Cricetulus griseus: one gene and its partner. The protein of the gene in region 2 purifies or fractionates together with the protein of the main gene of each other region. This does not show direct contact. Links are inferred from orthologs where the notes say so. Each region holds a gene or a part of one and is shown on either strand. Other genes may lie near its edges. The genes, in order: Ap1m2 and Ap1g1.

Evidence for each region.
Region 1: the proteins of Ap1g1 (region 2) and Ap1m2 purify together in Homo sapiens (affinity purification with mass spectrometry; 4 studies listed by BioGRID and IntAct, counting the BioPlex papers as one, with this or other methods). This does not show direct contact. The link is inferred for Cricetulus griseus from reciprocal best matches to the Homo sapiens genes AP1G1 and AP1M2.

What each region holds. Positions count from the first base shown.
Region 1 is NC_048597.1:134,160,158-134,163,973, reverse strand, and holds part of Ap1m2 (AP-1 complex subunit mu-2), read left to right. Parts: intron 1-2,231; coding exon 2,232-2,362; intron 2,363-2,452; coding exon 2,453-2,600; intron 2,601-2,677; coding exon 2,678-2,804; intron 2,805-3,816. UniProt on the Homo sapiens protein: Subunit of clathrin-associated adaptor protein complex 1 that plays a role in protein sorting in the trans-Golgi network (TGN) and endosomes.
Region 2 is NC_048596.1:186,215,357-186,219,172, reverse strand, and holds part of Ap1g1 (AP-1 complex subunit gamma-1), read right to left. Parts: intron 2,367-3,816; coding exon 2,262-2,366; intron 1,437-2,261; coding exon 1,295-1,436; intron 1,104-1,294; coding exon 977-1,103; intron 1-976. UniProt on the Homo sapiens protein: Subunit of clathrin-associated adaptor protein complex 1 that plays a role in protein sorting in the late-Golgi/trans-Golgi network (TGN) and/or endosomes.

The DNA of each region.
Region 1 (3,816 bases), on a different chromosome or scaffold from region 2:
ACCTGCCTCTGCCTCCCAAGTGCTGGGATTAAGGCGTGTGCCACCACCACCTTGCAGAAGATAATTTTTAAAAATTTATTTTATTTTTAAGGGTGTGCTAGAATGTATGTCTGTGAACCAAGCAGGCTTGAAGAAAGCACTGGATCCCTTGAAACTGGAGTTAAAAGATAGTTGTGAGCTGCCATGTGGGTGCTGGGAATCAAACCTGGGTCTTCTGGAAGAGCAGCCAGTCCTAATGGCTGAGCCATCTCTGCAGGCTCTGGAAGGCTATTAAAGCAAAAAGTTGCTAGGCGGTGGTGGTGCACGCCTTTAATCCCAACACTCAGGAGGCAGAGGCAGGCAGATTTCTGTGAGTTTGAGGCCAGCCTGTTCTACAGAGCTAGTTCCAGGACAGCCAGGGCTCTTATACAGAGAAATCATGTCTCAAAAAAAGAAGTTTTTGCCAGATGGTGGTGTCCCAGGCCTTTAATCCCAACACTTGTGAGGCAGAGGTAGCAGATATCTGGTCTACAAAGCAAGTTCCAGGACAACCAGGGCTACTAAGAAAACCCTGTCTCAGAAAACCACACACAGACAGGAGCGCGCGCGCACACACCCAAACACACACACACACACACACACACACACACACACACACACACACACACAATGTCTTCCCATCCCTAGCAACCATTAATGGCCTATAGATCCTATAGTGGTAGCATCTCTTGCATCCCTCCCACAGTAGGAAGCTGACTGTCTGATTTGTTCAGGTACTCTTGGGACTGCCTCTCCTGCAGTCCAGCTGACCTTGAACCTCCAAGGATCACAGGTGTACCTAGTTGTTTATATTGGAATGTTTTACATTTATTCAGTTAGTTCTTTTGTGTGTGAGTGTGTGTGTGTGTGTGTGTGTGTGTGTGTGTGTATGAGGCATAGGTGTGCAGATCAGAGGACAGCAGGCCTTCCAGCACATGGGTTCCAGGGTCATCAGGTTTGGTAACAAGTGACTTTTCCTGCTGAGCCATCTCTCTCTAGTTTGTTTTGTTTTGATGTTGGTTTTTCCTGTACTAGAGAATTACATCTACTCATTCTGTTTTACTTTTTTTGTTTGTTTTTTTGTTTTATCGAGACAGGGTTTCTCTGTATAGTTTTGGAGCCTATCCTGGCACTTGCATTGGAGACCAGGCTGGCCTCGAACTCACAGAGATCCGCCTGCCTCTGCCTCCCGAGTGCTGGGATTAAAGGAGTGTGCCACCAATGCCCAGCCAGAACACAGATTTTTAAATATTTAAGATATACACTTTATTGAAGGTTTACATACTTTTAATTTTATGTATATGTGTGTTTTGCCTGTATATATGTCTGTGTACCTCATGTGTGCAGTACCCATAGAGGCCTGAATGGAATGTTGGATCTCCTAGGACTGGAGTACAGACAGTTATGTGTCTTGGTGCTGGGAATTGAACATAGGACATGGGTTCCCTGCAAGAGCAGCCAGTGCTCTTAACCACTGAGCATCTCTCAGGCCCACACTTTTGTTTGTTTTGTTTGTTGAAGCAGAGACTCTCTATTTAGTCTTGGCTGTCCTGGAACTCACTATATAGATCAGACTGGCCTTGAACTCAGCAAGACCCACTTGTCTCTTCCTCCTCAGTGCTGGGATTAAAGACATGAACCACCATACCTGGCCTCCACACTTTTTAAAAAAATTTTTAGGGAATGTAAGATGGATCAGACCTCTCATTCTAGAGCTTTGAAGGCTATAGCAAAAGGATGGAAAGTTAATGGCCATCCTAGGCTCCATAGCCAGACCCTGTCTCAAAAAACAGTCTGGAGTGTGGCTATTTAGTGGAGCCCCTGTATAGAATCCCCCAGTGAAGGGCAGGGGTGTGGCTCTTCAGTAAAGCCCCTGCATAGAATTCCCCAGTGAGGGACTGGAGAGTGGCTCATTTGTAGTCTTGATCTGTAGCCAGGTGTTTGTTCCCTCCAATCCCTGTACCACACCCATACCCAGAAAATCCATTTTAAACCCTCTCTAGCTGTCTGTCAAGATTCTTCAAGGTGTGGGTTTCCACTTCTGTTTTCCTCCTTCCCATCTGACATGTTGGATATGATTGATGATCACTTTTCCTCATTAAATTGCTCCATGGGAGAAAGCCTGTCTCTTTGTTTGCAGCCCAGGCACACAGTAGGTGGTCCATAACTGCTTACTGGCTGGCTGAGTGTGTTCCCTGGGACCCCATGCCCAGGTCTTCTGTGAGTATTTTAAGGAGCTGGAAGAGGAGAGCATCCGAGATAACTTTGTCATTGTGTACGAGCTGCTGGATGAGCTCATGGACTTCGGCTTTCCGCAGACCACGGACAGCAAGATCCTGCAGGAGTGAGTGCGGGGAGGGCGCCTGTGACCACGAGTCTGGTCCCTCCAGGTGTCCCTGATTTAGCTGTAGAGTCTCACTGTTCTTTCCAATAGGTACATCACACAACAGGGCAACAAACTGGAGACGGGCAAGTCTCGAGTGCCACCCACAGTCACCAATGCTGTGTCATGGCGCTCTGAGGGGATCAAGTACAAAAAGAACGAGGTCTTCATTGATGTCATAGAATCTGTTAACCTTCTGGTGAGCTTCATGTCCTGGGGGCAAGAGCGGGAACTCTGTACCTGTTGACACCCCATATTGGGACACCCCCTTTGCAGGTCAATGCTAATGGCAGTGTCTTGCTCAGCGAGATTGTGGGCACCATCAAGCTGAAGGTGTTTTTGTCTGGGATGCCAGAGCTGCGGCTGGGCCTCAATGACAGAGTGCTCTTTGAGCTTACTGGCCGTAAGATTGTGGGGGATCCCCTTCCCAGGGATGGGCTAGAAAACAACTAGAGGCCTCCTAGGCTTCAGCCAGTTCTAAGATAAGTGTTCACATGCCCTCTGATAATTGAGCCTTGTGTCTCAGCAGCAAAGTTCACCTAGAAAATGCTTTCTTTGTTAATGAGAGCTGGCTGCTGACCAAGCCAGTTTCTGGCCTTGACATTCTAGTGGAAGGAGACAGGTTAATAGTATTTGAACATCTCACAGAGACAGGCATAGTAATCCATGCTGTAATGTCAGCACTCTGGAGGCTGAGGCAGGAGGGTTAAGAGTTCAATGTCATGAGAAGTGGGCAGAGACAGATGGTTGATTCACTAGGAATTCCAAGGGGGCCAGTTTAGCCTAATCAGCAAGTTCCAGGCCAAAGGAGAAATGCTGTCTCAGGAAAAGAAATAAAAAAACAAGGAGGATGACATCTGAGGAAAGATACGTGGTATTGTCCTTTGGTGTCCATGTACACATATGCACATACATATTAATGTGTGCACACACAGACACACAGACACGCACATGCACGCACGCACGCGAGTGCACCACAATGTAAAATAAAAACAAACAAAGACGAAGTCAAGCATAGTGTAATCCAAGAACTTGGAAGGTAGAGGCAGGAGTTCAAGGTAATTCTCAGCTACTTAGTGAGTTTGAGGCCATTCTGGGCTACATAAGACCCCATCTCAAAACATCACACCAACACAAAAGAAACAAAAGCAGAAATGATACAAATGAGAAAGAAAAGGAACCGAAGAATTGGCTCAGCTAGTACAGTACCTGCACACCAACATAAAGACCTAAGTTTAGATCCCTAGAACACAAATAAAAAGCAGGTATAGCAGGGCAATGATGGTGCACACCTTTAATCCCAGCAATTCAGGGAGGCAGAGGCAGGTGGATCTCTGTGAGTTTGAGCCCAGCCTGGTCTACAGAGTGAGTTCCAAGGCAGACAAGGTTACATGGTAGAACCCTGTCCCCAAAAA
Region 2 (3,816 bases):
CCCCCACCTATCCCCACTACCCCTAGGTCTAGGTCTCACTCACACACACACACACACACACACACACACACAAAAAAAAAAAAAAAAAAAAAAAAAAAAAAAAACAGCAAACAAAATATATATGAGAGCTCTGCGTGCCTGCTGTGTTTAGGGAAATCATTTAGACCAGGGCAGGGAGCAGAGCTGTTCCATACTCTGGCTGTTCACTTCTCAGGACAGACAAGCTTCGAGTTCCTTTGTACTTATAAAGACACCAACTTTTCAGCCACACTTTACATGATAATGTAGGATAAAATTACACATCTCAGTGATACTCTTGGATACACCACTTGCAAATGGCTAGTGCACATAAGACAAGAAAGGCCATGGGTACTTTCTCCTTTGGTTGCTTTAATAAAAGAAGGGAGGGAGGATGGTAGGAAGTAAGTTAACCCATCACCACAAATACCCACAGCTGTTGAAAACTAACCATGAGCAGAAAGACATCTGGAGGTTTTGAGGCACCAACAAAAAGCAGAATTGGCTGGAAATACCTTTTTTTTTTTTTTTTTTTTTTTTTGGTTTTTTGAGACAGGGTTTCTGTGTAATTTTGGAGCCTATCCTGGCACTCACTCTGTAGACCACGCTGGCCCCAAACTCTCAGAGATTCGCCTGCCTCTGCCTCCAAGTGCTGGGATTAAAGCTTGTGCCACCATCGCCTGGCCATTCTTTTCTATTCTAAAAAAAGGAAGTCCTTTCTATCTTAAAATACTAGAAACAACCCATTCTTCCAAAATAAATTAGCCTAAGTAATCCCTCGGAATGACCCTCAAAGCATTAGCATGGCAGCTTACACCCCAGCTGTTGCCAGTTCCACCTACCCCTGCTTCTCAGGGATTCTTCTAGCCTCAGCTGACTCCTCTGGAAAATGCTTTCAGGAATTCCCCCAAGATCTCTACTCCTATCCAAACTGTAGATAATTCAAGTCTGGCCTCACCTGTTAGGGTGATGTCTCCCAGCAAGTCAAGAAGTTCTCCACCAGCAGAAGCTGGTTTGCTGGTGGGTACAGTTGGAATAACAGGTGTAATGTCATTTCCTCCCAACAAATCCAATAAATCATTGGCCTAAATAAGGAAATAACATCTTCATTCATAAATTATTTATCTAAAGTATATTTAACACTGTTTTTCCCATACTTAACCATTAAGAAAGGCAATTATCAAGCAATCAAAAAACACTAAGGGTTATCAGCTAAGAAATGAGCTTCAGGAACAAAAACATCACCAGGAGCCCAAGACAAGCAAGTAAAGACTACCTGGCTGGTGGGCTGTGGCCCAGAGGGTGGTGGTTTTGTCTCTAGTGGAGCTGGTTCTGTCTCTCCATTTGTCTGCACAATCTCAGAAGGGCCATTTGTGGTCACCTTTTCCATGACAGGCATTCTTTCAAGTAGGGCAGACCTAGAAGAATCTGAAGTGGTTACATTCTAGGCAGTTAACCTAGACTCCCTGCACAAAACAATAACCATTAATGATTAAATTTTGAAGCTTAGCAGGGAGAAGCACCTCCCCTCCCCATCCAACACACACTAAAGTAGAAGGCAGATTACAAGAATATATACATGACCTAAATTCTTAACTGGATTAAGAACAGGCAAGAAACCTTGAATAAACAAAATGTCCCAAATCCCCAAACCTGCTATTCAGTAACTGAGACTAGGATGAAGGAAGGTAAATCAACAGGTATTAGCAGACTTCGGCCATGAGCTGGGTATTATATAATAGAACGGAGGGGAGGGCAAAAACAATAACACCAAATGTTTGAAGTAATAGGATTTGAATAAAATTATTTCTCTTAAAAAATAACTGCCTTTTAATCAATAAAATGTAAAATGATACAAACTTTATATGGAGGGGAGCATGAAATGAAAAATACGCAATAATTTTTATTTATTTATTTTGAGACAGGGTCTTACCATGTAATTCTGGCTGACCTGGATCTCACTGTGTAGACCAGACCAGCCTTGAACTCAGAGACCCACCTGCCTCTGCCTCCGGGTGTTGGGATTGAAGGCAGCCACACCATACCCCACTCGATACATTTATTTCTTTGGTGGTCAGGCAGAAGAGAAAAATGGACAAAACAGAAGCAGCCAAGCAATGAGAACTAAGGAGAGTTACAAACTCAGTGAATGCCGAACATGCAATGTGTCTCCTTCACTGGCTACAAGGACAAGTTACTCAGAATGTTAAAAGTACATATACTGCTTGGTTTATTTTGCTCACCTCATATGGTCATATTTCTTAAAAAGTGCATTGTATTCTACTGCCCTCTGCTGGAGCTCTACATCGATGCTGCTTCCATAGATAGAAACCACTTTCTTAATTCGGCTGTAGGATAAAATGATAAATGAAACCAAACATTCAAAACACAAAGTTCATAATGAAGCATAGAAAATCTTAAAAACAGAATTTCCTGGTTAAATTTTTTAATTACCTATGTTTAATCCAGTAATAAAAAAAACAGAATAACATTGCCTTATCTCTATTCAGTCACCATTATACTATTCTAACTGTAATGATAGATTTCTAAGTATTTATTCCACCTTCTTAAACTTGCTAGAGGTTTGGGAACACAGCTTACTGGTAAAGCTACTGGTTTGTGAGGCCCTAAGTTCAATGCCCAGCAGAGGAAAAGAAGGAGAAGGAGGAGGAGGAGGAGAAGGAGGAGGAGGAGGAGGAGGAGGAGGAGGAGGAGGAGGAGGAGGAGGAGGAGGAGGAGGAAGAGGAGGAGGAGGAAGAGGAGGAGGAGGAGGAGGAGGAGGAAAAAAAAAACTTGCAAGACAAAAGTAACCATCATTTTGCCACAAAAGGAATTTGTACTATCCAATTCTCTTCCTTAGTTACTTTTTTAAAAATAAGGTTTTAGCATCAGCATGCTTGCCATAAATCCTTCCAATTAGCAATTTAAATACTAAAAAATTTACACTTCTCATGAAGCCTTACACTGAAAATGAAATAGCAAATCCAGAAAAACTTACTTTGGAAAATTGACTTACTCAAAATAGCACCAAGTAAAACTTAAAAGATTTAAATACACACGCACGCACGCTCCCAGCACCTGGGAGGCAGAGGCAGGCAGATCTCTGAGTCCCAAGACAGCCATAGTTACCTGGTATAAGATCTTGTTTCAAATAAACCAAAACAACAAACAAAAAAAGAATATAATAAACCAATAATTTAAGGGCAAATGTTAGAAACTGGACTATAAAAATGCAATTTTAGGGCTGGAGAGATGGCTCAGAGGTTAAGAGGACTGACTGCTCTTCCAGAGGTCCTGAGTTCAATTCCCAGCAACCACATAGTGGCTCACAACCATCCGTTATGAGATCTGGTGCCCTCTTCTGGTGTGCAGATATACATGGAAGCAGAATGTTGTATACATAATAAATAAACTCTTTAAAAAAAAAATGCAATTTTAGCTACAAAATAATCCTCAGTACGGTGAAGCAATGACAGAACAAATACAAACGAAATAAAGATTAACTACGAACTGATCATTCTGAGTCTGTGGTCCTAAGTAAATGAAACTCATTTACTTCTCTTTTTCTAAGGTTTCTTTTTATTTTATGTGTATGAATTCCTTGCCTGCATGTGTGTCAGTTCACCGTGTATGTGCAGTACCTGCAGAAGCTAGAAGAGAGTGTTGGACCCCTGGAACTGGAGTTCCAGGTGGCTGTTAACTACCAAGTAGGTGCTAGGAATCGAACTCGAGTCCTCTGCAAAAGCAGCAAGTACTCTTAACTGCTGAGCCATCTCTCCAGCTTCATGTGTCTATTCT